Linked DNA regions of Notamacropus eugenii. The protein of the gene in region 3 interacts with the protein of the main gene of each other region in a pairwise test. Links are inferred from orthologs where the notes say so. Each region holds a gene or a part of one and is shown on either strand. Other genes may lie near its edges.

Region 1 (7,145 bases), on a different chromosome or scaffold from region 3:
CTTAAATTACATGGAAGTCCAAGTCACATGTGGTAGGAGGAGCTTGCTGAATGGGTAGAAGAGGAAGGGTGGAGCAGAGCTAGGAGAAAACTGGTGAGAGCAGTAAAGGCAGAGGTGAGAGAGGACACAGGCAGGCACAGCTAGTGTTGTGAGTGTTTGCATGTGGGAAGGTCAAGGGTGGGGTGGGGGAGTGGTGGCAAGACTTGGGAATGGTATTGTCCCCTGCAGTGCTAATGGGTAATGACTTCTTGGTTTCTATGATGGATTTGGCTTTCTGGTACTGGGATTTGGCTTTCTGGTATTTGAATAAATGTCTTTCTTCTGCCTCCTATATGGAGAGTCAGAATAGAATGACAAGAAAAGAACTGTTTACTGCTTTATTGAGAGCAGGGCTAGATTTTTGGAATACCATAGATGGTATTCCATCTATACAAAGTGTACCAAATGTACCAAGAAAAGGAGCTTGATACTAGATAGAACACAGAAGTAAAAACTACCCCTATAGATCCTCCTTCCTGAACCCTGAGATGCCCTAGCTTGCTCTTTTAAAGGAGAGCTCAAATACTGAGAATTCCCACGTGAACTAGCTAACTCTTTTTCCATCTGATTTTTTTTCCTTCAGCAGCTCATCTCTGCTTTTATACATAACATGATAACCTATTAATAAAATCCAGCCTCTCCTACATACCCTTGCCAATTCTTTCCCTGGTTTTATTAGTATTCCTTACAAACATCTTTCCAAATCTCTAGATTCTCTCTCCTGTAACCTCAGTTCCTAGGAAATTGACTGACCTCCAGATCAGATTAAATAAATACACAGACAGGATTACAGACCCCATATCAATTTGACAATATGTTGGAAAGATGGATCAACAACTATAACTAGGGCATTAATAGATACTGGGCCAGAGCCCTCCCTTAAATATGGAAGCCCTGATAAGTTTAAACATGGGACTCCTATAAGCATCACAGGATTGGGAAGGGCTGAAATATCAGCCAGACAAGTCAAACTAATGATGAAAATTGGACAATTACCTAAAAAAGATCTTGGGGCCAAATGTATTGTTAATGTACTTTTGCTTAATTTGAAGATCTTTCCCACCCATTAATAGGCTGATGTGACCTGTTTAAATCACATGGAAGCCTAAGTCATATGTGGTGGGAAGAGTTTGCTGAAAGCATAGAACAGGAAGGGTGCAGCAGAGATGCAAGGAAGTTAGGGAGAGCAGTTAGGGAGAAGGAGAAAGAGGACACAGGCAGGTACAGCTAGTGTGAGTGTTTGCTCGTGGGAAGTAGGGGGTGGGGTGGTGAGGCTTGGGAATGACATTGTCCCCTGCAGTGCTAATGCGTTTTGACTTCTTGGTTACTAAGATGGATCTGGCTTTCTGGTGTTTGAATAAATGTTTTTCTTCTGCCTCCTATATGGAGAGGATGTTATACTTTTTGATTCAGAACTATGTCAGCATATTCACAGTCACCATCGATGCTGTGAATATTATCTTGGTGACACATGGACCCAGATGGCTCTGGAGGAAAAAGTGAGGCTGATGACTTTGCACAGCCTTCCCTCACTTAAGTCCAATTTATTTGCATGTCATAGCATTACCTCCATGATGTCATGGTCCTCTTCAAGAATACAGGACAAACAACAACATCCAGTCTAACGTTCTTCCTCCTACATCAGGAAACCTCTCTACCTATGTCTTGTGCTTATGGGTTGGGAAATAAGTAATATAAACATCATTCTCTTCAAGTGGGGAGGAATAAAAGAGTTAAAATACATGAATACAGCTTCTCAGTGTTAGAGCCAAGACTTGGAAGATCTTTTGACTTTTAAATACAGTGCTCTTCTTCCAGGCCATACTTTCTTAATAGGATTTTTTGTATCTGTATCTTTCACAGACTTTGAAGATGAACCATGAGCTAAGCCCCAAACGGAATAGGAGCCAGGGTTTGTGGTTATTCCAAACTGCTCACTTCTGGAGAAGTCCATCTCTTTAACATGGCGATTTTCTAGTGATGCTATATGACTACAAATTCTGGAATACTATGATCTCATATTATATTAAATTACAAAGGGACTGAAAGTCAATGAATGGCAAGACACAAGCTGGAGGCAAGCAGGTTTTAGCATAAGATCTACAATGATCAACACAGCAGATTTATAAAGGACAATTATGAATGTAATAGGATGCGGTCCAGTCATGAGCTAGAGCAAAGGACATTCTATTGATATTTTCTGCATAGAAAAAAGAATCAGAGTAAAGTCTCCAGCATTTGGGGAGGGCTTCACTGGAGGATTTTATAAGGCTCAAGACTTGGACCTGAAGGAGACCTCAGAGACCGTTTAGTTAAACTTCATCATTGTATAGCTGAGGAAATTTAAGCCCAGAGATGTTCTGTAACTTGCTCCCTAGATGAAACAAATTATGCATATTAGAGTTGGGATACAAACTGAGCTTCTCTGATTCAAAGTACCATGCTATTTATGCTGTTTTTCACTGCCTCATTTGATAAGAATCCAAAAATAAATAGCACAGGATGAGAAGGAATGAATAACTTAAGTCAATCAATTAACTAGCTTTATTCAATGTCTTTTGTGTTCAATAAGAGGCAGATTGGCTTGGGGAATAGAAAGTCAGTCTACAAGTCAAAAAGGTTTGTGTCTGAGTCTAACATCTGACACATAGTGGCTGGAGGACACTAGATAATCTAGTCTATATCCTCATACCCCAAGCAAAATGTCTATGGCTTTAAGTGTTAAAAGTAGTTGATGGTCTTCAATGGTAAAGAGAATTTTCTTAATGGGAGTTTTCTATGTCAATGAAATCACATGTCAGGACAAAAAGGAAATTGTTTTTGCTTGTTTCTGGGATGCAAATATAAAAGTGAGCCAGTCTCAGCATTCATGGAGCATAGATTTCATAGGGATGATAGGATCTAACATCAAAAGAGAACTCTTAATCCCCTATCAAAAAGGAGGAATAGCTTGGGTTTTCAGATAGGTAATGCAAGACAAATACAAAATAAATACACAATGAGGGTGGGGAAGAATGGGGTCCCTAACAACTGTGAAAATCAGGAATGGCCTCTTGAAAGAGTACCCAGCATATGGGGAGGAAGAAGTAAAGAAGGAGAACATTCTACTTTGGGGGTACATCCAATTCAAAAGAATGGGAATGAGAGATCAAATACTGTGTATGGGGAACAGCAAATAGGTCAGCCTGGTGATGAATAGGTAGAGTATTTGGGGGTCAGTAATGTGTAATTAGCCTGGAAGGACAGGCTAGAGTCATATTATGAATAGCAATAGGGAGCCAGAAAGGCTTCTTGAACAGAAGAGTGGCATCGATATCACTTTAAGGAGATCATGAATCCACCTAAATCGCTAAGTCACTACAGAAATGCAGAATTGTTCTATGAAAGCAGAACTGCACCAGGATTTAGAAGTTACTTTACTAGTTCCACCTCTGCTGACACTGACTTTCTATGTGACCTTTCAAAAATCACTATCTACCTTTGGAAGTCAGCTGCCTTCACTGATCATGATGAGATAATATAGATCATGTGCTTTGCTGCTTGGCACAGGGTAAGTGTTCAATAAATGCTTGTTGACTGGTTGACCTTAAAATGATAGATAAATGTTAGCTATTATCATTATTATTAGTCTCATAACATGAAGAGGTTGAGCGACATGACCTTTTCCAGCTCTGACATTTTATGATTCATTATTACCATTTCAGCTGCTCCTTTCTTGTCATTTCTAGAGAAATGATGGCCAGATGAGATGGAGCTGAGTCATCAAAAATGACATCTGGAGCTGGAAGACGCATTTCTGGAGTATTTCCCTAACAGAAAGTGAGGGTATTTAATGGGACAAGGCAGCCCAAGAATCTATCCCAATGCCTTGCGTAAGGTCAATAGGATGGTAAATGCAGAACCTGGATTCTACTCCAAATCCAATATGTCCAAAGCCCTTCTATAAGCAAGTAGGGGAAGCAGGGTCTGAATTCAAGCTGAGGTCTCTTTTCACTTTAAAGAGGACGGATTAGGCTTCCGGTCTCAGATCCCAGGCTTTTCTTTAAGGAAGGGCCAGTTTGGGTGAGAAGCTAAGAGACGGGAAACTGGCCTGGGAAGGGAGGCGTTCTCCGAGTCGGTACTTCGTCCCCTTGGTCAGCAGAGGGAGCCGCGCTCGCGCTCCTAGGGGGTGGGGGCCAGGCGGGGGTCTTCCGAGGCAGACGCTGCAGCAACCCCCCGGATGCTTTACGGCGTCTTTGTGCTCCGATTAGCGGCCTCTTCTCCTCCCCCCTCCCCCCCTTTCACTCATCCCCCCGCCCCCCACCCCAGTAGCACTTCAGGGGCTGGGGGGGAGCCACGGTGCAATAAAGAGAAGCCTCCGCAGACGCCCCGAGCCAGACCTGGCAGCGGCAGGCGGCTGAGTCCCGGAGCAGGGCCTGCGCGGGCTGGGAGCAGGGGGGCGTGGGGAGCGGTGGGTGCCCGGAGGAGGGGCGGCGGCGGCGGCTGCAGCTGCTGCAGTGTCCGCTCGGGAGGGAGAGAGAGAGAGAGAGAGAGAGAGAGAGAGAGAACAGACAGAGGAAGGAGGCTGCGCAGCCCGAGGAGGCCGTGCCCGTGCCCGCGCCCGCGCCCGCCACGGCAGAACTGCGGCAAATACCCAGGTAAAGGAGGCAGCGGCGGCTCCGACCCCCTTTGTATGCGCACTGCGGACGCCTTCGGGAAGGACTCTGGGGGGAGGAGGAGGAGGAGGAGGAGGAAGAGGAGTAGGAGGAGGGAGCCCGTCCGTCAGTCCAGCCGCCCGCCCGCCTCTCTCTACCATGGCTTGCTCTGTCGCATCCAGAGCAGACGCCGCGGGAGCGGGAGGAGGTGGCCCCTGCCCGGCCGAGCCTGGCGCTCCCCGCGGCGGCTCTCGGGTTCTGCCCCCGCCGCTGCGGACCACTCTCCGGTCCACTGGCAGCAGGGCGGGCGGGCGGGCGGCGTTTGCCTTTGGCCTTGACTGCCCCGAGAGCTGGTTTGTATATCTGTGCAGACGGCGGGCCGCGGTGCGGGGAGGAAGGGCGTGGGGGCATTCTGGGGAGGTGGGCAGCGGTCTGACCTTCGAAGGACTGGGGTGGGGGTGAGCCTAACGGGGCCGGCGCCTCTTGCTTCTCCGGCATTGTTAATGCTTTTACATCCTTCTTCTCCCCCTCCCCGCCCTTTGCTGTGGGGGCTGTCTGTAGGTGATGGGTGGGGAGGTTGGCGTAGACCCGAGCTTTGCATCTGGCTAGACCCCTTCATCCCCGCGTTCTTTTCGCCACCTGCCCCGAAGACCAGCCCTAGCTTTGGATTTGGAAAGGGTTAGGGTGGGGTCGGGTGGGGGGGGGGCAGGGGATTGTCTAGGTCAGGTTCATCTGCGAAGGAGAGTGGGAACTGGGAATAGAGGTCAAGGTTGCTGGGTTGCGTTCCTGCTTCCTCTCAGCGTTTGGAGAGTTTGTGCAGCTCAGCTCTATCCAGTTGTGACAGCGCTGCTCCCATCCCCACCCTGCTGCCCTTCTCCTTGGCTCGTCTGCTTGCTCTGTGCATGAAATTGTCAATAGATAATCAAAACCCAGCTCTCGACTGGCCAAGAACTGGGCTGGCTGCTGCCTGCATTCCAGACATGGCGGGTCGCCATGGGGGTGATGGGTTGGGGGGGAGTGGTGGGAGGATTGCGGTTGTGTTGCTTGTAAATCTGAAGAATGATAATGCATTTTGAGAGATGGGTATGGCCGGTTAGTGGAGAGGTGACCCCTCCCCACAATCTGTGCTCCTTTGGCAGAAAGATTCCTTTTATTCATTGCAGAGAGACTAGACTAGGAACTATTTAATTTTCTTTGTGCTCCCAAGGCTCAGTGCTAGTAAGCACTTTTTAAAGGCTTGACCATTGAATCCCAGTCGAGTATCTACTTGGGCTATAAAGATATGTGGTTCTTGGACGAAACCTTAGCTCTTATATCTCTTTCTTCTTCTAGGGTTTGGGCTCACAACCTTACTATAAGACAGGGGAACAGCATGACGTAACACTTCACTCGATTTGTTCTAACGTGTCATCTTATTCTAGCACTTTAATGAAGATTAAAAGTCATAAAAGTAGAATCATAGAACATTAGGGCTAGAAGCTATTTTAAATATGATCTAATAATCATGATATAATAGCTCACATTTCTAAAGCACTTTATTATTTACTAAGAGCTGTTTTCCTCAAATGGTTCTTCTGCAAGGTAGGTGCTGTAAGTATTATAATGTGTTTTATAGAAGAGAAACCCAGAGAGGGGAGGTGACTTGCTTGAGGGTTTTCTGCTTCTTAGTGGCATAATCAAAACTAGAATTCATATCTCTTGCCTCCTCTAATTCTCTTTCAACCTTTTCTAGCTAGGCTGTCTCACTTACTTCCTTAATGATTTGGCCCAGTTGGACTGTTTCACATATTTCTATAATATACTCCTGAGGTTTTCCCTGGGTTAATAATGGGTTCTGCTTAAGGGAAGTTTTAATATGTCACATATAAACATGCTTTAAGATATGTAGAGACCACTCTCATTTTACCAAGGGTTGTAAAACTGTAGTGTTCTAGGCTGTATAAGCCTTACATAATCCATACCTATATTGTAAGGCTTTCAACCAGTTTCTTGAAGCTGAAATAGGTAATTTATATGAAGGTGCCTTCTTTATGCAGGACTAAGGAAAAATCATATGTGGGAGTTAGTCCTGGGAATTTCTTCTTCCTCCTTTATTTTATCATTTGTGAAAATATGAATACATCAAGGATCTGTGATTTACTGTGATTCCTTTCATCTATAAATTAGTAGAAAGGTAGATGGATTTAAACCTAGGTCTTGTTGATTTCAAGTACAGCATGCTTCCTTGAAAATACATGAATAATTTCTTTATGAAAAAAACAAAATTAATGAGAAAGGCTTTAAAATGGGGGCAGATGGACCAAGGCATTTCAGTATTCTAAAGAAATAGCTCTGTGACCTTGAGCAGTAACATTTCTCTGGACCTCAGTTTCTTCTTCAATGAAATGATGAGTTTGGATTAAATGATGTTCTTAAAGCCCTTTTCAGCTCTAAAAAAAGTCTGTTTCTGTGATTGTCTTCTAGGTGGAGCTC
Region 2 (7,245 bases), on a different chromosome or scaffold from region 3:
TCTACTGTTCATCCTGATCAATATGCCAAGCGGTTCCTAGATTTCATCACCAACATCTTTGCCTAGGAGACTAACTGGCACTCCATGATATCTCCTTAGATTGGGTGGGGGAGGAAAGAGTGACAGGGCTATAGGGGGAAGACTGAAGGAGTTACAGGTGTCCTCTTCCTTAGCTAAGTCCAGGTTGCCTCTCCCCGCTCCCAGAGTGATGTCCTCCCTGCTTCTTGTCCTACCCACACCAGCCCCAGAGTCAGCTTCATTAGGGTTTTACTGAGGATTTTTTTTTCACTCCCAAGTGCCTTGATCTTTGTAAAATGTCGTTTTATTTTTGTAAAATAGGAGGAGCTGAATTGGTTGGGGGGAGGGGTATCTTCTGACCCTGGCAGGACCAATGACTGGTTCCGGATGTTGCTCTGGCCTGGAAAGCTTGAGCCTAAGCATGGCTTGAACTTTGCTGTTTAACTTTATTGGAGGCATAGAGGCTCACTCTTCACTCTTCCAACATTCCCTCATGTACCTGGGGCAGATGGGGATGCAGCAGTGTGCATAAAGTGGTGTAGCCAGTCTTGCTCATTGAAGTGGAGGGGTGTGTGGAAGATGCAGCCAGCAGGTTGGCTTCTCACTGGGTTGGGGACTTGAGGGATTACTTGGCTTTGTCAGGGACTTTGAATGGTTTCCTAGCCCCAGTGTCCTGAGAACCTAAGTCTTTTAGCATTCTCTCTGTCTAGGCCCGAGTTGGGGTTGGTGTTTGGTTGCTGCTGCTGGATACCAGAGCCTCTGTCCCTACCTGGGACTGGGACCATTTCTTTAGGCATTTAGGTGGCTAGTCTGGGAGACTGGGGTAAAGAAAGATTCTGGAGCTAAAAGCTCACTATATTTAATATTACTTTCTTTTTGTCTACTTACTTTTGGGTATTGTTCCAGGGACAGGGGAATTCCTCAACCTGGACCAAACCTGGTTATTTTTGGGGTGAATTGAACTCAGCACCATTCCTTCTTCCTCTCTCCCTTCAGCTTTGTCATCAGCCTGCCCCCTTTCAACTTGCCTTGTGCTGTTGTTATATCTCCCAGAAATAGGTGACATTGTCCTCCTTATTCCCTACCTCCTGAGAGGAATCAGCCATAACTGTCCCTCCCTGAATTATATAGGAGTAGTATATCTAACTGGGGGTTGAGGGGCATGAGCATAGGGGAAAGGGCTATAGACTCACTTTGGAGTTGAGACAATCACTCCTTCCCAGGTTTCTCCAGTATTGTCCAAGGTTATGGGTCAGTGCAGTACTCCCTGTGTGGCTGGACTGTTCTGTCAATAAGAGATAGCCCTGTGAATGTTTTCTCCCACCTACTCCCTTGCTCCCACTTTTATTCTTCAGGAGGAGGAAACTGAAGTTGTGTGTGTGTGTGTGTGTGTGTGTGTGTATGTGTGTGTGTGTGTTATGGCTACCTGATTTGTGTGTGTGTGTGGTATGTGTGACATCTAATATGTGCCTCCCTCTTATCCCTCCTCTAGGGGCCTGGTTGAATTTACTCCTTCCCCCTATCTTTCCCCTGTCTAAATGCAATAAAATTTAGGACACCTGCAACTGCCTTTCTCTAGAAATTGGTTTTCTGACCATGTAGCTGATGCATCAGGGGCAGTATGGGTGTCTTCATTTGTTGCAATTTTTTTTTTAAAGAAAAGAAAAAATAATAATCTTGCATATTCCCATTGCTGTCTCAACATAGAAGTAAATTATTAAACCTGAACTGGTCCCTCTTTGTGCTTTGTGTATTTTTGAGATTCACTGTGGCATGGGAGTACTAGACATGGAGTAAATAGACACTGCCTGGATGGGAATCCCATATTACAAATTTAGTAGTGTATATTTTTAGCCAAATAACTTAATCTCTCTAATCTTCCTTATCTGTGAAATGGGTATAATGCCTTTAATCCTTCACAAGGTTGTCAAAGGGATCAAATGAGACTAAAGTGCTTTGGAAACCCTAAAATACTATAAAAAAGCTGTTATTGAGTGTTGGGGTTCAGAATAAGGAAGAACGGGGAGCTGAAAAGTCTAGCAGCAAAACTGTGGTGCCCTAAACCTGGAGACTATGTTTTGAGGATGAGTGATGATGATCCTTAAAGGAAAATGGAATATTTGGGGAAGGGGAGAGGAGAAGAAAAAGTCTTGGGTTGCCTGAGGTTTTTGTTTTTTGCCTTAGGAATATAATAGATTATATTTGAAGAGGAAAAGAGAAGTATCTCTCAACTATGAGAACTTTGAAGTGCCAGATATTGAACTTGGAGGTTAACCTCCTCTGGGATCTTGATTTCTTGGAACACATAGCCCTTCAATAAAATGCATGTGTCCTTTCAGCAGAGAAGCTGAGTAGGAAGCAAGCTTCTTGGGAAGAAATCTTCTGACTGCAAGGGAGAGAGTGGGTGAGGGGAAGGGATACAGCTGGGTCCTGGGAAAGCATGCTGGAGAAAAATCAGTCATCTAGTCCCAGGGGTGGGAAGAATGAATTGATAGTGCTCTCCCAACAGTCCCCTGGGATTTCCAAAAGCCTCCTTATTAAATTCCTCTTTGGCTGCTGGGAAAGAAAAAAAACAGTTAAAAAAAAAAAAAGACTTGTAGATGAGGCCCTAGGGTGAACAAAAGGGTACAAGGTTTTAATCTGGAATGCAGCACAGATTTGGATTAGGCTGGGTATTTTGGGAGGAGTATTAGAAGGGCTGAGCAGCAAATGAACTTTGAATCCCCTTTTTCAGGGCACCTTGATAACATTCTACTTCCTCATTTTCCCTTTCTGTTAATGTGTGGGCTAAAGAATTTGTAAATTCAAAGTTGGGCTCTGACTTTGGCATTTGGAGATGGGTGAGGATTATTGTTGGAGGGGACTTCAATTTGAGAGCAATACAGGGTTATTTTAAGAGTCATGGTATAATTAGGAAAGTGTTGACCTCAGCACCTGGAGAACTGGACTTGAATTCCCCAGGTAGATGTTTACTAACTGAGTGGCCGTGAAAAAGACTCTTCCTTGAGTAGGACCAGGAGAACACTAACATAAAGACTTAAGAATTCTGATGTTGAGAGACTCAGGAATTCTGATCAAAACCATGACCCACCATGATTACAGAGAATTGTAGATGAAATCTGCTACCCATTTCCTAGCAGAGAGGACTCAGAATGCAAATTAAGGCAATGGTTTTGACCATGTCTAATATGAGAATTTGTTTTGCTGGATTATATATGTTTTTAACAGGTTTTTTTTTTTCTTGCTTCTCAGTGGGGAGGGGGAAAGAAGTGGAAGAGGTCAGATCTCTTGGAAAAAAGTAAAATTTTTGTTTTTTGAAAAATAAAATACTAAAAATAGAAAAGTTGCTGAAATTGAAAATTCTGTTCCTTAGGCTTTTCCATTGTAAAAGAGGAATAATAATTTACCATCTACCTTGAATAATGGATATGAGCGAAGCTCTTTATAAGACTTCCAAATGCTATAGAAATGGGGTTGAGGGGTGTATTATTCTCTTAATCTATTCCACCTTTCTGCCTGCGTTCCTGTCTGGCCTGAACGCTAAAATGGGTAAATGATAAAGAGTGTCTTCCCTTCACCCAACTTCAGGATCTTAGACTCAAAAAGTTGAAAGGGACCAGCCATCTAGTCCAGTCCATTCATTTTGCCCATAAAGAACGGAGCCTCAGATAAGTCAGATGGCTTATCCTAGGTCACACGGAGAACAGGGGCGTATTTTTAATATCCATTATTCCTTCATTTCAATTTTCTGTGGCTCCATCTGCAATGAACATCCTAAAAGTGGGTAAATGGTCGAAAGGGGGCTCCTTCCACCCAATCTCATAAATCTAGGACAGAGAGCCGACGGGCATCTTCGAGATCATCTCCCTGTCAAGACCCGGGGCAGAGAAGTCAGTGACTCGCCCTGGGCCACACAGCTCAGAGGGGTCTCGGGTGGCCCTTGAACTCAGGTCATCCAATTTCCAGGTCGATTCGCTCGACCAACCCGACTCCCACAAAGCCGAGGTTGCCCGGGCTCCGTCCACCCCCACCGGCAGCCGCGCAGTGGACTGGGAAAGCAAAAAGGTGAGAAAGGTGGAAGGCGGTGCTGGGGAGGGGCACAGGTGAAGGAGGGCGGGGGGGCTTCTTCCCCGGGCTCCCAGGCTGGCTCGCCTCTCCCTCCCTCACCGCCTCCCCCAGCCCTGCCCTCGCTCCCTCCCAGCCTCCCTCCCTCGCTCCCTCCCTCCCTCACCCCTCCCCGCCCTGCCCTCGCTCCCTCCCTCCCTCGCTCCCTCCCTCCCTCACCCCTCCCCGCCCTGCCCTCGCTCCCTCCCTCCCTCGCTCCCTCCCTCCCTCACCCCTCCCCGCCCTGCCCTCGCTCCCTCCCTCCCTCACCCCTCCCTGCCCTGCCCTCGCTCCCTCCCTCCCTCTCTCCCCGCCCCCAGGAGCGTCCTCACGGAAGGAGGGCTGGGGAGGCGCAGGAAGGACGCTCCGGGATTGGAGGTGGAGCCCGAGAGGCGGCAACTGTCGCCTCCGATCTGGAGGAGGGGGCCGCTGCTGTGGGCCCCGCCTCCCCTCCTTTAGGTCCCCCCTCCCCGGTCCCCCTCCCCATCTTCATCCCTCTCCCTCCTCTCCCCCCCACCCCGTTGCTAAGGTCCGGACCGTCATCCCAGCAACAGCCTCAGTCATGTGACCGGCGATGGCGGCGCTGACGGGAGGTAGGTGAGCCCGGCGGCCCCCCCTCCCCCCAGCGCCCCCCGGACGCGGGCTCGCGCCCCTCGGACCCGACTCCCCGGAGCGCGGGGACCCTCGCCTTTCCCCACCCGCGGCGGCCGCTTCCCAGCCGGGCGTCTTCCCCTGGGCTGCGGGGTCGGGGGGATGGATGCTGGGGAGGGTGCTGCGGGGCCTCGGCGGGGCCTGCCAGCTGCGGGGCCGGGGAGGGGGCCCGGGCGTGTGCGCGCGGGGTCTGTGTGTATCCGTGTGTGCGCCGGGGCAGTCAGGGCCCGGTGTGGCGCGGGGTGAGGGCTTCGGGAAAGGGGCGATGGGGACTCGGGGATCCGGGCCCACTCCAGCAGCTTCGCTGGCCCCGCCCCAATCTGGGGGGTGGGACCGGCCCGGTAGGTCACGGACCGCCGGGCCCTTCCCTCCCCCCGACATTTCCTTAGCCAAACCAGTGTCCGGGGTTGCCCTCCGCTGTCACAGGGCTCCCAGCCTGGAGCCACCCTGCCCCAGGGTTTGGGCTAAGAGCCCTTAGGGGTAGACAGCCTCGGGGTTGGGAGGGGGATGGGAAGTGGAGGGGGGGGTGGATAGGATGGAGACACAGGCAAGGGCAGCCTTTTCTCCCAACAGAGAGGGTCAATGTTTGATTTAGCCAGAATTTAAACTTGACCCCTAGTTCAGTCCCGAGGTTCTCCTCCTAGCTGGATGAGAGATGGAGACCTGAGGAAGTACACCTGTGAGCACGAAGGGCATGCCCCAGTTTCTAGGAACTAGACCCATGTATGAATATTCCCCATCCATGATAGCCTATGCTGATGGACAGATGAGATACCTGGTCTTAAACTAGTAAGAGTGAACTATGGATATTTTTTTGTTATAGAGTCTGCTACCACTTTGTCCACATCTTCAACAGCCAGCAAGCAGGAGTGATTAAGGTTAGACCTTAGGGAGGATTTGCAGGCCTTGAGGGTATACAATTTGGGAATCAGGAGGAATTGTGAGAGCAGTGGAAGTGCAAGAACACAGAGGAAATTCCTACCTGTTTGAACTGAGGGCAAGGGGGCAGGATAATGGTTAAGACAATTGACAGATCAGTTTTTGAGACTTTTCCAATATCAGTTATTCCTCTTTTCTCGTATCTTTTCACTGAAGGAAAAAGGCCCCTGAAGTAAGGTCATAGTGTTAGGGATGAAAAGAGGTTTGAAGCTGGAGTATTGAAGTTTCAGTCTCCACAAAGCTTCTTTTGGAAAGGGGATGGAATACCAAGGGTGGGGGAAGAGAAAGGGAGATGCCGGGTGCAATTGGCTGGTGTCAAGGAGGGAGGAGAAAGGGAGGGACAGGTAAGGAAACAATTTCTATTATAACCCTATTGCCCTCACCCAGTGTTGGGGTCAAAGTCCAGCTGAGTGTGGAAACTTCCGGGATTCCTCCTGCCACCATCGTCCATGGGCTCTCCAGGTACCAGTCCTCCAAGTAATTTGATGCCTACCCATCCCTCACTGTTCCTACCCCAGGGATCTTGTTTTCAGTGCTTCAGTAACTTTGACTCTAGAAATCCCAATTCTTCCACTCCCAGGGCTGCTCAAGTACATAGGGTCTCTGAGTTAGGATGTATCCAGGAAGGTTCCCTTATTTTCTCCCCAACTCTGGACAGAGAGACTCACCACCACCACCATTAGATCAGATATTTCTAGCCCATAAGTAGGGACATAGAGAGAGAAAAGGAAAGCCAATTCTGGATATGCCAGGCTGGGAAGCCTCCCTGCCAGGGTACATGACTTTACCCTGGACAGGGAAAAAGGTAATCAGTGTAACTATAGGGGAAAGTGGGATCAATTCATATGTTTGGTTTAAATGGTAATAAATCAATTGAATCTCCCATTCTGAAAGAAGACCCTATAAGACTGCTGGGAGTTGTGGGAGGGGGGACCAGGAAGAGATACTATGCCTTGGGTTTGGGATTGAATGAAAATGAGAAGGCCATTGTACCTTGAAGCAACTTTCCTTACATTGCAATATAATCTTTCATCTTGAGGAATTACCCTAGTCTTTACTGGGAGAACTTTGGTTAGAATGCAGTAGAATGGAAGGGATGCTGAACTTTGGAGATTAAAATAAAATGGGTACTTCTTTGGTGAGAGGTGGTATTGGGTTGGGCTTTGGAATGGGGCTAATGCTAATCTCACGTAGGTAGTGGGAACTGAGAGTAGAGGCACTGGTATTTGGCAAATAGACCCTATCCTGAAGCCCTTTCATTCTGGGGCAGTGTCGTTCGTCCTGTCCAGGATGGCGGCCTGTGGGGGCAGCTGCAAGAACAAGGTGACGGTCTCAAAGCCAGTGTGGGACTTCCTGAGCAAGGAAACACCAGGGCGACTGGCCCGGCTTCGGGATGAACACCGAATATCCATCCTCATCGATGGAGAGACGTCGGACATCTATGTTCTCCAGCTTGCTCCCCAGGGCCCCCACCCAGCCCCTCCCAATAGCCTCTACCTTGCTAGAAAGGCTCTCAAGGGGCTGCTGAAGGAG
Region 3 (6,986 bases):
ATTTCAAGGGCAAGGACTATTTTTTGCCTTTCTCTGTATTCCCTGCATTTAGTGTGGTGCCTGACACATAGTAAGTCCTTAATAAATGCTTTTATATATATATAATGTATGTAAATATAACAGGCACTGGGATATAGAGGAAAAACCCAACATTCTCCTGGCCCTTAAGAAGCAACCATCCCATTGGTTGAGACAACTTGTACACATATACAGCAAGTATATAGAGAATAAATACAAGGTAATTGAAGGAGAGAGGGCTTTAACAGCTGAGATCAGGACGGGCTTCATGTAGAAAGCAGCACCCAAACTGTCTTGAATGTACAAACATTTAAGTGCCCACTATGTGCCAAGTGCGGGCAGGTAGGGGGTGAAGTGGACAGAATGCTGAGCCTGGAGGCAGAAAGACTCATCTTCCTAAGTTCAAATCTAGCCTCAGATCCTTACTCTCTGTGTGAGTCTGGGCAAGTCACTTAACTGTATTTGCTTCAGTTGCCTTGTCTTCTAGCTCTAAATCCAATGAATCCACAGTCCTAGCTCTTCCATTAATTCACTGTGTGACATCAAGAAAGTTCTTCATTTCCTCAAATGAAAAAATAGAACGTGGCTAGACCATCTGCAAATCCCTTCTAGTTCAGACATTCTGTGGCTCTACGTTGGCTTAAAGCATGAACACTGAGAGCCCTCCTGGTAGTCCCTGACAGGAGGAAAATTTGTCCTTATTTTGCCATAAGTTTGAGAGTTCCTTTGCAATAAACAAATTCAAAACCAAAATTCTTCGGTTCTTTCCTGAGGTCTTTCATTGTCAGGGAAATGTCAGTTTAGAAGAGTAGAAAGTGAAAGTGGAGAACTCAGATCACCTTCACCCTGGATCCTGGGCACCTCATTCCTATAGGAGGAGAAGGAGGAAGAGAAAGAAGAAAGAAGAAGAAAGAAGAAGAAGAAAGAAGAAGAAGAAAGAAGAAGAAGAAATATTTATGTGGGCTCTAGCTATTAATAACTATATTACAAATTAGAACTAATCATTTAAAAATATTTATTCAATGAAAATAACAGCAATCCTATAGTATGTTAATAGCATGTTTTATGAAAAATAACTAATTTTCCAAACAAAAAATGTTAATGAGGAATAGTATTGTCTTACATACTTTTGCAAATTTCTTTAATGACTGGCTTAATTGAAGACAGCTGTATTCTCACATCTGCTTCTGCATTCAATCTGTTGTATCTGGTATTTCAGCTTAAATATATGAAAAAATCCCTCTTGAGATGCATGGACAGCTACATAGCTAAAAAAGGAAGACTGACTCAAAGAACATCTTAGCATTCTTATGAAAAAAAGTTCTGAGCTTTCAGTTCCCCTGAAAGGGTCTTGGGGACCCTCAGAGTCCAAGGTCCAGGGACCACAGACACTGAGAACTCATGTACTGAAAGGCTGAGAAACTTGCTCGGTGTTATCCAATGTGTGACTGAGGGAGGACGGAAATCCAAGTGTTCCTGACTGAGAGGTCAGCTCTCTATCGCCCTGCTTAACCGCAACAACAATTCTGCGGTCCTTTAAGATTTGCAAAGAGCTACCCTTATATACTACCTCCTTTGTAGTAAACATCGAAGCTGAGATGAGAACACCATCATCTCACAGGTAAATTCAGTACTGTTCCAATGATGCCACGCTGCCTACCACATCCCAGCAGTCCTGGTCCCAAGGTGGACAGTGCCACACCAGACCAGGGCGCTAAGGATCTGCCAAGGGTGACTCTCCCAAAGTTCGACCCCCTCCCAGCCAGCTCACTTTAACTCACAGCGTCATAGGCTTTAGAAGAATCCTGGAGAAGATCTAGACTAGCTCTCCCCATCTATGCAGTAAACTGAAGCCGGGAGAGGGGAAGGACGTCTTTTGCCCCAACTTCACAGAGAGCAAGTTCGGAATTCAGAGCTCTTCATCACCACACCCTGACCCCCATCTACGAGAAAGCGAGCCTGGGGACTTTTCACAGCTCTTCCTCACTTCCATCCAACTCACTGGCACGTCTTGGCATCCCTTCCCTAACGTCACGGTCCTTTTCGAAAACCAAGGACAAACAACAAGGATATTCTATATAATTGGAATGTGAGGAACTTGAAGGCAACAACCCCCTTTGCTTTCCTTCGTCTCTCCAGCACTTAGTGAGATACCTGGCACATAGGAAACCCTTCACAAACACTCGCTGGCTGATTATTTCCATTTGGGGACTGTGGTCATTCGTAGCCAGGAAACGAAACTGAAAGAGATTCAAAGCAGGCTGATAGGGAGTCCAAGCCCGAGGCACCTCGGGGGGACCAGAGGAAACCCTCTACGTCTGCCTCTCAAAACCAGTTCCCGTGGCCTCTCCCCTGCCCCCCTCACATGCCACTTCCCGGATGAAGGATGGACTCAGGAGGAAAGGGACAGAGGTCGCCCAGGGAGTGTTCTGTCTGTCCGGGTCAGCGGACAGATGAGGTAGACCAGGAGGAGGATAGAGGGAGGCAACAGTGGTTGGATGGGGGGGGCAAGGGGAATCCTGAGGGTGGGGTTAGATGAGGACCAGGAGCCTGGGAGGATGGGGTGTGAGAGGGTAGGCAGAGGATGCCTTGGGTCAGAGGGAGAGGGCTCTGTGAGCGCGACAGGACCAGGCAACCCTGTTCACCCCTCCTAGCTCACCGCAGCCCAGAGCTTTTACCTTCGCAGCGCGCTTGCTTGCTGTCATGTCTGGGGATGCGGAGTGCGGGGAGTCAGGGGGACTCCTGGCTGACCGAGAGGCAAGGAGGGTGGGCGAGGGCTGGTGAGTGGCGGCGGGATCGCCTTACGAGTAGTTTGGGTCTCGCGGACCTTCCCTGGAACCGACGTCGAGATCTGTGTTCAAATTCTGACTCCGGCGAATTCTCTGGGTGATCTTGGTTCTGGGCTTCTGCTTCCCTATGTGTAAAATGAAGGAATTGGCTGGGCTTATCTTTGAGGTTTCTCCTCCCTTTGAGGTTTTTCTGGATGCCCCGCCCCCGCCCCGCCCCTTCTCCCCATGGCACCGCCTCCTCGAGTCCTGGGTACAGGTGCATTCCTTCTCCAGACCCCGCAGGGCTGAGCAGTTTTAGGGGAGCTTCTAGCTCGTAAATCTGGAGACAGCGGCCAAGCTGAGACTAACAAGGGCCTCACTTACCTTAGGAGAAGCGGGGGGTCTAAGGGCATGGAATATTGCGATACTGTCAGATTGTAGATAAGTTCATTGATTTTGGCAAACCTTTCCTTTGATTTTTCAATCTTTTGTTACAAGGAATGTCTCAATTAGGAGGAAAGGGGGTGGGGGTGGGGAGCAGCTAGATGGATGCTGCAGTCTATAGTTCGGAGGACTTTGAGTTCAGCTTGCCTCAGACACTTACTAGCTGTGGGATCATGGGCAGGTCACTTAACTCCACTTTTAAAAAAAAGGAGAGGGATAGATATAACAGGAAGGGAATACAAGGAGAGAGGCAGAAATGATGGAGGGAGTAAGGAGCTGGTTTCTGAGTTGGAAAGACTTGGGTCCAAGTCTCTCCTCTGACATCTTCTGGCTGAGTGACCCTACAATGTCACTTCATCTCTCCGTGCCCGAGGGGACTTTGTGAGATGATGAGCGGCAGAAAAGATGCCATTTTCATTCATAGAGGGATTTCTGACACTGCTGACATCACAGGAACTCCCCAAAGTTATATCAGATCAAAAATCATCAATGTTTCTTTTTGTTTTTTAAGTGTGTATCTACCATTATGCCAGGCCCACATCATGCCATTAGGCTGGATATAGGGTTCGAATTTAGCTAGTAAGGGTCCTCAGGCAGAGGAGTTGACCTCAACCCTCCTTGCCTATCTTGAGCTTGCTTTTTTATTGCTGGTTGTAACCTCTGCCACTTCACCTGGAGTGAAGAAAACTTGAAACTAATCCTGACTCTCACATTTACTGTGGAACATTTGGAAAATCTCAGCTTTTTTCAGCTTGTTTTCTCAACCCATATAAATGGGAATAATATATTCAGGGCTGGTATGAAGAACAAATCACATAATATATGTAGGACACTTTGAAAACCTTAAATCAAGCAGTAGCTAGACAGTGAAGTGGATAGAGCACTAGCCCTGAGTTCAAATCAAGCTTCAGACACTTTCTGGCTCTGTGACCCTGGGCAAGTCACTTAACCCCAGTTGCTTCTAAAAAGAAAGAAAAGAAAACCTTAAAATGCTGTACAAATGCTGACTTTTATAAAATACAGGAAAAAGCACTGACCTTCAAATAAGGAGACCTGGACTGGTTTCAGTCACTTTAATTTGGTATGTGACCTTGAGTTATGCCATTCAGAGATACAGAGTAGGAAGGGCCCTCTGAAATCATCTAGTTTAAGGCTTTTATTTTTACAAATGGGGAAAATGAGGCCCAGATTCAGGAAGTAAAGATTTATACCAGGAGTTTGCTATTGATAATGATGTGCTCTTGGGCAAGTCACTAACCTTTTCTGCTTCAGTTTTCTTCCAGTCCTAAGATATATTATAATCTGTTCGAGTTCTCTTCCTTCCCTTCTGTGCCTCCCTCCAGAGTTCTGTTTTGAGAGATGGATTAGCTTCAAAAAGGTACTTTTCTTTGGCCACTACTCCTCTAACAGAATGTCAGCTCCTTGCGGGTAAGGATTGTCTCATTTTTATATTTGCATATGCAGCACATGTAGATGTTTTCCCCCTCTTTTTATATTTATGCTCAATTTTAAAATAAAATTAAAACAAAATAAAACTAACATTTCCATATACATTTTGGAACAGACAGTAAGGATTGTATGTGAAACTGCAATTCTCCAGTATGTAGGGTTGTATACAACTTGTTTTTCTTCTTAAGTACATAATAAGTTCAACAAATAACTTTCAAGCAAGTTCTGCTTGTCCTTGATTCCTTCTGGTCTTCTCATTTAGGGTAGTGGGTAAAAAAATGCTATTATCCCTATCCCTCCTTTTCCCACTCCCATGATGGGTAAGGGAAGGCAAACCCAAATATTCATAGCCAAGCAAAACAAACTTCCCCCATTTGCTTTATCCAAACATGTATATCTTCTTTTGGGTCCTAAGTCCATCACTTCTCTGTCAAGTAGTTGTTAGCATGTCTCATCACTAGTACTTTGGAATCATGGTTGCTTATTACATCAATCAGAGTCATTAAGCTTTTCAAATTTATTTTTCTTTATACTGTTGTTATTGTATAAATTATTCTCTTAGTTCTGCTCATTGTACTCTGCATCAGTTCATACGAGTCTTCCCAGACTTCTCTGAAATCATTCAGGTTCTGCCCCTTGGTAGCCATGTGCAAATCATTTAAACTCTCCAGGACTCAGTTTCCTCAACTGCAAAATAGGAAAAATAAGTTCTAACACTTCATAAGACTTGGCTTGTGATAATGAGATTTTAATAGCTTCCATTTCCTAATCTCTTCACAAAGCACTGTTCTTCCAATGGATCTTCAAGCTAAGTACTGATGGTATTATGCTATGATGTTTTAGACAGCTGTGACAAAATCTTCCACATCTTCTCATTTGATCTTCCCACCAGTTCTGTGAGGTAGAGTGCTATGATTAGTGTCACTTTGCAGATGAGGAAACTGAGGCTGAGGGATGGAAAGTAACTAACTCAGGGTTACACAGAGAGGTAAGATTCAAACCCAAGTTCATTGTGGTAGGAATGCTGGATTAGGTGTCAGAGAACCTGAGTTCGAATTCTACCTCTGCTACTTACCTAGTATAACAAGTCACTGCAACTCTGTGGAGCTGTTTTCTCATCTGTAATGTAAGGAGGTTGAGCAGATGACCTCAGAAGTCCCCTTCAGCCCCCCCCCCCATGATCACAAACTGGACTCCAAAATTCTTTTCCAAGGGTTCCTAACATTTTTTGGGTCACTGTCCCCTTTAGATTTCAGCAAAAAACTTCCTGTACTCCCTATTCAGTATGGAAAAGAATTTTTTTTAAATAAGTATTTAATTTAAATAAGAGACCTGACAGCTTGAAGACTAAATTAATAAGAATTTAAATGTCAATAAGTCTTGAATTTCACAACAGCAAGTCAACATTTACATTCAGAGATTTTGTTGTTGTTTGGTTGTGTCCAATTCAATATAACATCATAGACATGATCTATGAGGTTTGCTTTAAAAAAAACCTGTTTACTATGTTCATATATATGAAAAGTAAAATAGGAATCAAAATAGATTTTGTTATATAACATTTAGTATCATAAAGTTAAATGTTTTTCAATTTATCCTATTCACAAATTTTTCCCACTAATTCCTACTTTTGGAATATTTCAATAGTATATTACAGTTCTTCAGAGGAAGGGTGGTACAATGGATAAGGTGCTGGCCTCAGAGTCAGGAGAATTGGATTCAAGTCCTTCCTCAGACACATATTGTCCCTGTGACCCTGGAGGAATGACTCCCTTAACTTCTCAGTGCTTCACTCTCTAAGAGAGACTGTAGAGACTGTGAGGCTTGGAATTTGTATAGGAAAGTTCCTTTAATAAGGAACTCCCTAACAGGAGTTTCCCAGACCAACGAAATCCCCAGTCCAGTCTATATCCTTATCCCGAAGTAGTTACTTATCAAATATTCCATGTACCCCAAGTTGGGAACCTTTGCTAATAATGCAGGGTAGGGAACCATTTCTTGCAGGTCAGGAATCTAAGCCTTCACTCTAAGACATAAGAGAATTAAGTAAGTCTCTTGGGATCATCCAGCTAGAATCTGTCAACAGAGAATGGGAAGTGAACTCTCTAGCCCAGGACCTAGGCTCTCTGCACAGCACTACACTGAAATAATATACCTGAAAGTGCATTGGAAAGAAGTCATAAAAAAAAAAAAGAATAAGAAAGAAAGAAGTCTTCACAATCTTAAAGGTTAAAATGAGACTTTTATAAAACCCACTTCTGACACTTAACTGTGTGCCTGTGGCCAAGCCATTAGCTCTCTCAGTCT
Region 4 (6,928 bases), on a different chromosome or scaffold from region 3:
AATGCTTTTCCATTGATTGTACTCGATGAGCCTACAAGGCATGAAACTTTGTTAGAATGTTGAAAGTATCTCCCTGTGAAGAATGATACGTTGTTGAGAGAACTAAAGACATTTCCCTGATTCATGGCTTATTGTTACTGTATCCCAGGTAGAAGAAGTTCCTGCCCTTCGACACCTGCTGCCCCAAAAGAAGAATCCTGAGTGGCTGCTTTTGGATAAATGTACAAAGCAGAGACAGACATACTCTCCCCCATAAAGTCAAGAGGAATCCTGGATAATGTCAAGTTTCAGATCCAAGCTTTGGAGAGGCATTGATATAACTTCTCAACCTTATGGTAGCCATTGAGCATTTTAGTATTCAGACTTCTATCTTGTCCTTGTGTGGCCAATACCTTGGCAACCCTCTTCCAAAGCTAGGCCAGCTCCATTTACCCCTAAGGGTCCTAGGAACAACTCTGAGGAGTTGGGGTAGCTTTGTCTAATACTATCAGCTTGAGCTTCCATTCTGGTCAGTTGTCCTCCACCATTAATTACCAATACCTGATACCTCAGTTCCATTTAGCCAATTAACATCAATTAACTATGAGATATTTATGCTTCAAAGGTATAACTAGAATAGAAACATAAACATTTCCCTTCAACACTTTCCTCAGGTCATTCTACGCTGTCACCCTAGTCTCTGGGAGGAGTGGGCTCAGATTTTGTTTGTACACAGCACTTGTTTTGAGTTTTAAATTTTGAGTTTTAAATTTTCTCAGTCACCTCCACCATACCACCCCTTAATTACCTTTTGAAATTCACAAGGTTGTAGCCCCTAATCTCCTCCACTTAAAACCAAAAACCAAAGCTAGAGACTAAGAACTGAAGTCCGTATTCACAGAACCCATGCCATCCTTAGACAGGGAGGAGCTAAGACCTCTTATCACTACAACATTGTTGCTTACTGTAATGCCACCAGAGTGGAAGAGTCAAAACCAAGAGAAGGGACAATGTTGACTAAGTACTTTTGGAATGTACCCCTAATTCTAGCTACTTGGCCAAGGACAGTAAAAGAGATTCCTATTTACTATATAGTTACACCAGTTACAGAATGTCTGCATTCTCCAAAATCCATGTGGGAAGTGCATCAGCAAGTCAAGATTGGACTTACTGGCCAGTCCCCCATTGTACTCACCATTTGCTCTTGGCTTCATTTCATCTCAGGATGAGAGGGAGCCAGTCCTGAAATACATATAAAAATGGAATTTACCAGGTGGTACCCTTTGCAAGTGAAGGAAATGTGGCCTTCAGCATGGACAGGAGCAGTAGGATAGGACTAAAGTCGCAAACAGTACTCAATAGGAGATCTAGACTCTGCTTGGAAGGGGAGTTACCTGTCCAGAAATCCTAAATGTGCTTCCCTTCTTGGGTACTCCAAGCCCTAAGAGCAGTGTGATGTGGCTATGTGTATATGTATGTATATGTGGCTATATGTATGACTTGGTTTCTGTGGATAAAAGAACTTACTTACCATTGTTGGGGAAAGCCAAATGTACTTATGCTTAAGAGTAATACCATACAGTTACATAGCTAGAGCAATTTCTGTGGAAAGACACTCAAAAACATCAGGGTTTGGATTGTTTGTCATCTCCAAGTATTTTTTTCTTGGATGGGAGATTTCAAACCATAGGGTATTTCTACAGTTCTGGAGGACTTTATGATCCTTGGAGAAGTGGGACCCACCAGTGATGCAGGAGAATTGTATTAGCATCACAGCATCTTAGATTTAGAGCTGGAAGTCGAAGAGCTTGGACCAGGTCACATAGCTTGTAAATGTCTAAGGCAGGATCTGAACTCAACTCTTCCTGACTTCATGTTCAGTCCTCTGACAGTCAATAAAGATTTATTAAGCACCAAACTACTATTAAGCACCAGGTACTGTGCACAGGGGATACAAGAAGAGGCCAAAAAAGTCCTGCCCTTAGGGAGCTCATGAGCATGCACACGTTCGTGTGTGTGTCTAACCTTTCCTACAAAAGATAGGTTTTTACATGGGACTTAAAGAAAGTCAGAGAAGCCAGGAGGTAAAAATAAGAAGGGAGAGCATCGCAGGAATAATTGAGAGCCAGGGAAAATGCTTGGAAAGGAGAAAGGAGTGTCTTGTTCGTGAAACAGCAGGAGGTCAGTTTCACGGATCAAAGAGTACATGTAAGTGGAGAGAAAGATGTAAGAAGACTGAAAAGATGGGGGGGAGGTGCTAATAAAAAATGTTTATTGACTGTCCTATTCACTCCATTAACTGTTTCTAGACAACTCTGTAAGTTGTTGATGTGTTTTCTGAATACGTTTATGAGCCCTGTGAGACCTTTGTATTTCTTGTGTTAAAAAAAATGTATTACTCTATACCTGATAAACACGACGTTTTGTTGAATTTTATGCCAGAATTGGGGGTACCCTTTTGCCCACATCTGTGGAGACCTAGGTGGGAACTATATAGTATGAGATTTCCCATAGTAAACTTGAGAAAATGGCAATGTGTGTCAGTTACTTTGGGGACAGCTTCTGAGACTGACCAAGCAAGACAGTACTTCAAGAAAGGAGATTCCCAACCCTTTTTGTGTCATTGGACCCCTTTGGCAAGTCTGGTAAAGTCTATGGATCTCTTCTCAGAATAATGTTCTTGAATATATAAAATAAAATGTATAGGATTACAAAGGAAATCAATCAGATTGATAAAATATTGATGAAAAATATTTTTTTAAATGTTTAGGAAGTCCCATGACCTAATAGAATATAAACTCATTGTGAATAGTCACTCAGTCAACTAGCACTTATTAATCACTTACTAAGGGCCAGGCACTGTGCTAAGTGCTGAGGTAAAAAGAAAGGCAAACAATCCCTGCTCTGAAAGAGGACAGTCTAAAAGGGTAGACAACATGCAAACCACTATATACAACAAACAAGGTATGTACAGGATAAACTAGGGGTAGTCCTCGAAGACAAAGCACTAAGAATTAAGACTCAGAAAAGCTTCTTACAGAAGGTAGGATTTTAAGTGAGAACTAAAGGAAGCCAGGGGCCATCTCCAGTAGTCCTGATCTATATCTGGCCATTGGCCCCAGATGACTCTGGAGGAAAGTGAGGCTGGTGACTTTGCAAAGCCCTCCCTTACTTAGAGCCAATTCACCCGAGGTCAAGGTCCTCCTCTAGAAGGAAGGTCAAACAACAAAGGAAGCCTCCTCAGTGCTCAGCCCTGGGTTTGACTCATGGAAAGCAGTGTTTTCATTCATTCATTCACTCCTAAGAATTAATTTTACTGTTAAGCCCCCCTGCCCCTTTTGAAGGCAGATGGATGATCAAGTCCACCAGTAAGATAAAGGTCATCAGCTTCTGCTCACCCCCACTCTTTTGGGTAAGGGAAGCTTCAGGATGCTCTACATGGATTTTAAGCTAGGCGATGATAAGAGGTCCTGGAGGGAAAGCCTTGCTCCCTGCCTCCCTCACTTCTACCCCACCATCAGCGGTGGATGAACGTTCTTCCGCACCGCTCTCCAACTTCGTGTTTCACGGAAAGAGCGCTGCGTTCGGAGGCCCTCTGAGTGCCTGCAGCTTGCTGCCTCTGTGATCGTGCCTCAGTTTCCTCATCTGAATGAGGCCCCTGCAACCTCTAAGGTCTCTAAGATCCCAAGGCGATGACTTTTCAGCACTAGAAGAGACTGGTCTCCAGGGTAGGAAGCAGTCAGGGAAGTCTGGGGTCGGGGTGAGGGCAGTGCCTCAGACTGGGGGGGAAGGAGGGGCCCCGGCAGGACCCCCCACAGCGTTTGCTTCTCGTCATCTTCGCTCGGGAGAGCGACCGCCTCACGGGGAAAAACCCTGGAACCCGCGGGGGCAGACCGGGAAAGCTCGGCCACCCTGACCCCGGCCCCGGAAGTGACGTAACCGCGACGGGCCGTTTCCGGCTCAGGCGTCGGCGGCGTTTGCCGGAGGAAGGAGCCCGAGGGAGCCGCGTCGGTACAGTCCCCTGCGCCTCCGGTCCCTTCTTCCCAGTCCCCCGTCCGGCCCCGGCCAGGCCTGGCCCGGCCCGGGGCACATCGGCCGCGGGGACCCCGGCGTCCGGGTAAGTGCGAGAGGAGGAGCGAGTGGGCGCGCGGGGCCTTGGCCTTGGCCTTGTTTACACCTGACGGGAACCGGAGCCGGAGCCAGGGCCAGGGCCAGGCCGGAGCCAGAACGGGAGCCAGGGCGGCCTCGCCGGCTCCGACCTCTCCCCGGCGGAGGCCCGGGCCTCTCTTCGGCCCTACCCGGGGCAGCCCGCTCGGCATGACACCCCGTGCCCCCCAGACCCGGCCGGGCTGCCAGCACCAGCCTCCCCCGCCCCGGGCCCAGCTCGTTCTCTCTTGGGGTAGTTAACTGCCGGCCACTGGCCCTTGGTCCACGGTCAAAACCCTGGTCAGGTCTGGGAGGCGGTGGGGAGGGGGACACGTGTGTATGTGTGTAGACGGGGGCATGGGGGGCGCTTCCCTTCCTCCCGGGCCCTCTGTCTGGCTCCCCCCTGCAGCTCCTTTTCCTTTGAAACGTGTGGAGGGTTCAGGGTTTCTGGGGAGATGCCCTCCGGTTAGGGTTAGCCTCTTGTTTAGGGAAGTTAGACCCGTTCTCCTCCTACACCCCCCTCCCCCCAACAGTCCCCACCTTTTTTGTGTGCCTTTAGAGATCCTTAGGAGATCGTGGCTTGAACTGGCCCTACCTAGTCGGTGTCTGCTGAATGTTTTAAGGAGTTAAGCCCTCTTTATGAATCCTAGTTTCTGAGGTTTCCCCTGAATAAAACGTCCATGCCTGTAAACCAAACATCAGTGAAAGTGACAGGCCTGGCTCTCGGATTGCCGGAAAACAAAACGACACATTGTTGTCTCCTAAGTGTGAAATGTCAAGTTTCTTCCTATGGGGGGCTCTATATGGGGCATTTTGTTCTTAGAAATGTACATTTGCTCTTCGTTGCTCCTGACTCTTACCCATTACCCTTATTGCCATTTTGTATATATTATTCACATGTTGTCCAGCACAGTGCCTGGCATATAGTAGGCACTTAATAACGCTTGTTGATTGACTAAAAAAAACTTTGTAACTGTTTTCAGAAAGAATAAACTTTTGGTTCTGAAAAGTGAGTAAAATAGGCTACAAAGTGAATAATGGCCTCGGTGGGCAGTGGGCAAGAAAAGTTTGACTCAGTTACCAATTCAGATTCATTTTTATCACTTTTACTTGTCAGGTGGGTCTGTTTTGGTCATGTGATAGGAAATGGCCTGGTTCTTCTATCCCTGTCAAGCTGGGAAACTAAGTTGTTGAATCATAGTTTTTTTTTCTGGCCTAGATTTTTTTCTCTGCAAAATAGAGAAATAGGTATCCTCTGGAAAACGGATCAGTTAGTACTAGCTTTTTCAGATATTGAAGTTAGTTAACCTTTTCAGATTAAAAAACATACATTTCTCAGGGTTGGTTGTTTTTTTTCTTTTGGTTAATCTTGGAATGATTTATGGGCTCAAAGCCAGATTTAGTGATGGAATTTAGAAGTGGGTATTAAGTCTCTGAACTTTGTTGCATTGTGTTTTGGCATTTCCAGGTCTTTATTTTATTTCTTTGTGGGAAATAGGGTCAGTATATCTTGAGTGTCACCCATTTAGGTGTGTGAAGCTGAAAAGTTTCTAGTGTGCATTGAAACCTTGGGAGATTGGCCTATCTGTAGTGGTGGTGCATGTCTGAAATCCCTGCTACTGGGATTCTCAGCTTCTGTAGGGTTAGAACCATTCTGGTGTCTGCAAGGATTCTGTCATCAATACCATCCTCCCATCCCCAGTGCTAGCAGGATGTCTAAGGAGGGATGAACTGACCCAGATCTGAAAAATGGAGCCAATTAAAATTTAGTGACCAATCACTATTGGCATCAGTGTGGGCATAGCCACTGCCCTTCCAACCTGAACCACATAGGTAGAGCTAGTCTCTAAAAAACAAACCAACCTAGAGAGGGAACACAATAGAATTTCGACGTATTATTACTTGTGTTGATTGGTAATAGTACTTGTCTCTTCTGTTGTGCTCTCTGGTTCCTTAAGGAAAATGCAGGGTATGTGCAAAGCAAAAATATATCTTAATTTGTTATAAAAGTGAAAGATTTTTATGTGTGATTTCTGAATTTTTATTTATGTATGATTTCATAGGTTTAATGAGGTTCCTCAAATGAACCATGTAATTGATTATGTGAAAATATTTTGTTTTGTTTTGGATTTTTATTTCATCAGCATCAAGAGCATGCTTACTAGCAAACAGATGTAATTTTTATTGACATAGTATGCATGTATATTCTTAGTTTACTCCCCTGTGGTTCTATTCACTGTTTTCATGATTTCTGAGATCAGAACATGATTGCCATTGTGCTGTATATTTTGTCTTCATGCTTAGACTGTAAACTTCCTAAGGGCAACAATTAATGAAAGTATTTGTATCCCTAGCACTTAGCATTATGCTTGATACATGCATTTATTTCATTGGTATATGTATTTTAGTTTGGCTCTATGATCTCAGTGAACCCCAAGGAAAATGACCTTTGTGCTGGAAGTGACAAAACAAAAATGATTAACATGTAGTTGATACCCAAGATAAATAAGGAGTTAGTGATGCAGGAGATAGAGTGCTAGGCCTGGAGTCAGGAAGAAAGACTCAGCTCCCTGAACTTCCTGAGTTCCAATCCGTCCTCAGATACTTAATAGTTGTATGATCCTGGGCAAGTCACTTAACCCTATTTGCCTCAGTTTCCTCATCTGTAAAAAAGAACTGGAGAAGACAAATTGCTCCCAGTATCTTTGCCAAGAAAACTCTATAACAGGTCATAAAGAGTTGGAGAAGACTGAAAAATGACTGAAGATCACCACCAATTCATTGATGAATTCAAGTCACCTGT

What was found. The genes of interacting proteins can lie anywhere in the genome.
Region 1: the proteins of UBE2L6 (region 3) and RNF144A interact in a two-hybrid assay, tested with the Homo sapiens proteins (2 studies listed by BioGRID and IntAct). The link is inferred for Notamacropus eugenii from reciprocal best matches to the Homo sapiens genes UBE2L6 and RNF144A.
Region 2: the proteins of UBE2L6 (region 3) and DTX3 interact in binary tests that used the Homo sapiens proteins (3 or more experiments, as listed by UniProt). The link is inferred for Notamacropus eugenii from reciprocal best matches to the Homo sapiens genes UBE2L6 and DTX3.
Region 4: the proteins of UBE2L6 (region 3) and ARIH2 interact in binary tests that used the Homo sapiens proteins (3 or more experiments, as listed by UniProt). The link is inferred for Notamacropus eugenii from reciprocal best matches to the Homo sapiens genes UBE2L6 and ARIH2.

Annotation. Positions count from the first base shown.
Region 1 is NC_092872.1:553,632,917-553,640,061, reverse strand, and holds the start of RNF144A (E3 ubiquitin-protein ligase RNF144A), read left to right. Parts: upstream 1-4,131; 5' UTR 4,132-4,258; coding exon 4,259-4,676; intron 4,677-5,387; exon of another isoform or gene 5,388-7,145. UniProt on the Homo sapiens protein: E3 ubiquitin-protein ligase which accepts ubiquitin from E2 ubiquitin-conjugating enzymes UBE2L3 and UBE2L6 in the form of a thioester and then directly transfers the ubiquitin to targeted substrates.
Region 2 is NC_092874.1:232,974,096-232,981,340, forward strand, and holds the start of DTX3 (probable E3 ubiquitin-protein ligase DTX3), read left to right. Parts: upstream 1-4,231; 5' UTR 4,232-4,715; intron 4,716-5,596; 5' UTR 5,597-5,651; intron 5,652-6,099; 5' UTR 6,100-6,161; coding exon 6,162-6,174; intron 6,175-6,982; coding exon 6,983-7,245. Other genes in the region: PIP4K2C (phosphatidylinositol 5-phosphate 4-kinase type-2 gamma), read left to right, coding at 1-66. UniProt on the Homo sapiens protein: Regulator of Notch signaling, a signaling pathway involved in cell-cell communications that regulates a broad spectrum of cell-fate determinations.
Region 3 is NC_092873.1:3,196,212-3,203,197, forward strand, and holds the start of UBE2L6 (ubiquitin/ISG15-conjugating enzyme E2 L6), read right to left. Parts: upstream 3,001-6,986; 5' UTR 2,724-3,000; coding exon 2,697-2,723; intron 1-2,696. UniProt on the Homo sapiens protein: Catalyzes the covalent attachment of ubiquitin or ISG15 to other proteins. Functions in the E6/E6-AP-induced ubiquitination of p53/TP53. Promotes ubiquitination and subsequent proteasomal degradation of FLT3.
Region 4 is NC_092872.1:7,474,587-7,481,514, reverse strand, and holds the start of ARIH2 (E3 ubiquitin-protein ligase ARIH2), read left to right. Parts: upstream 1-3,914; 5' UTR 3,915-4,096; intron 4,097-6,928.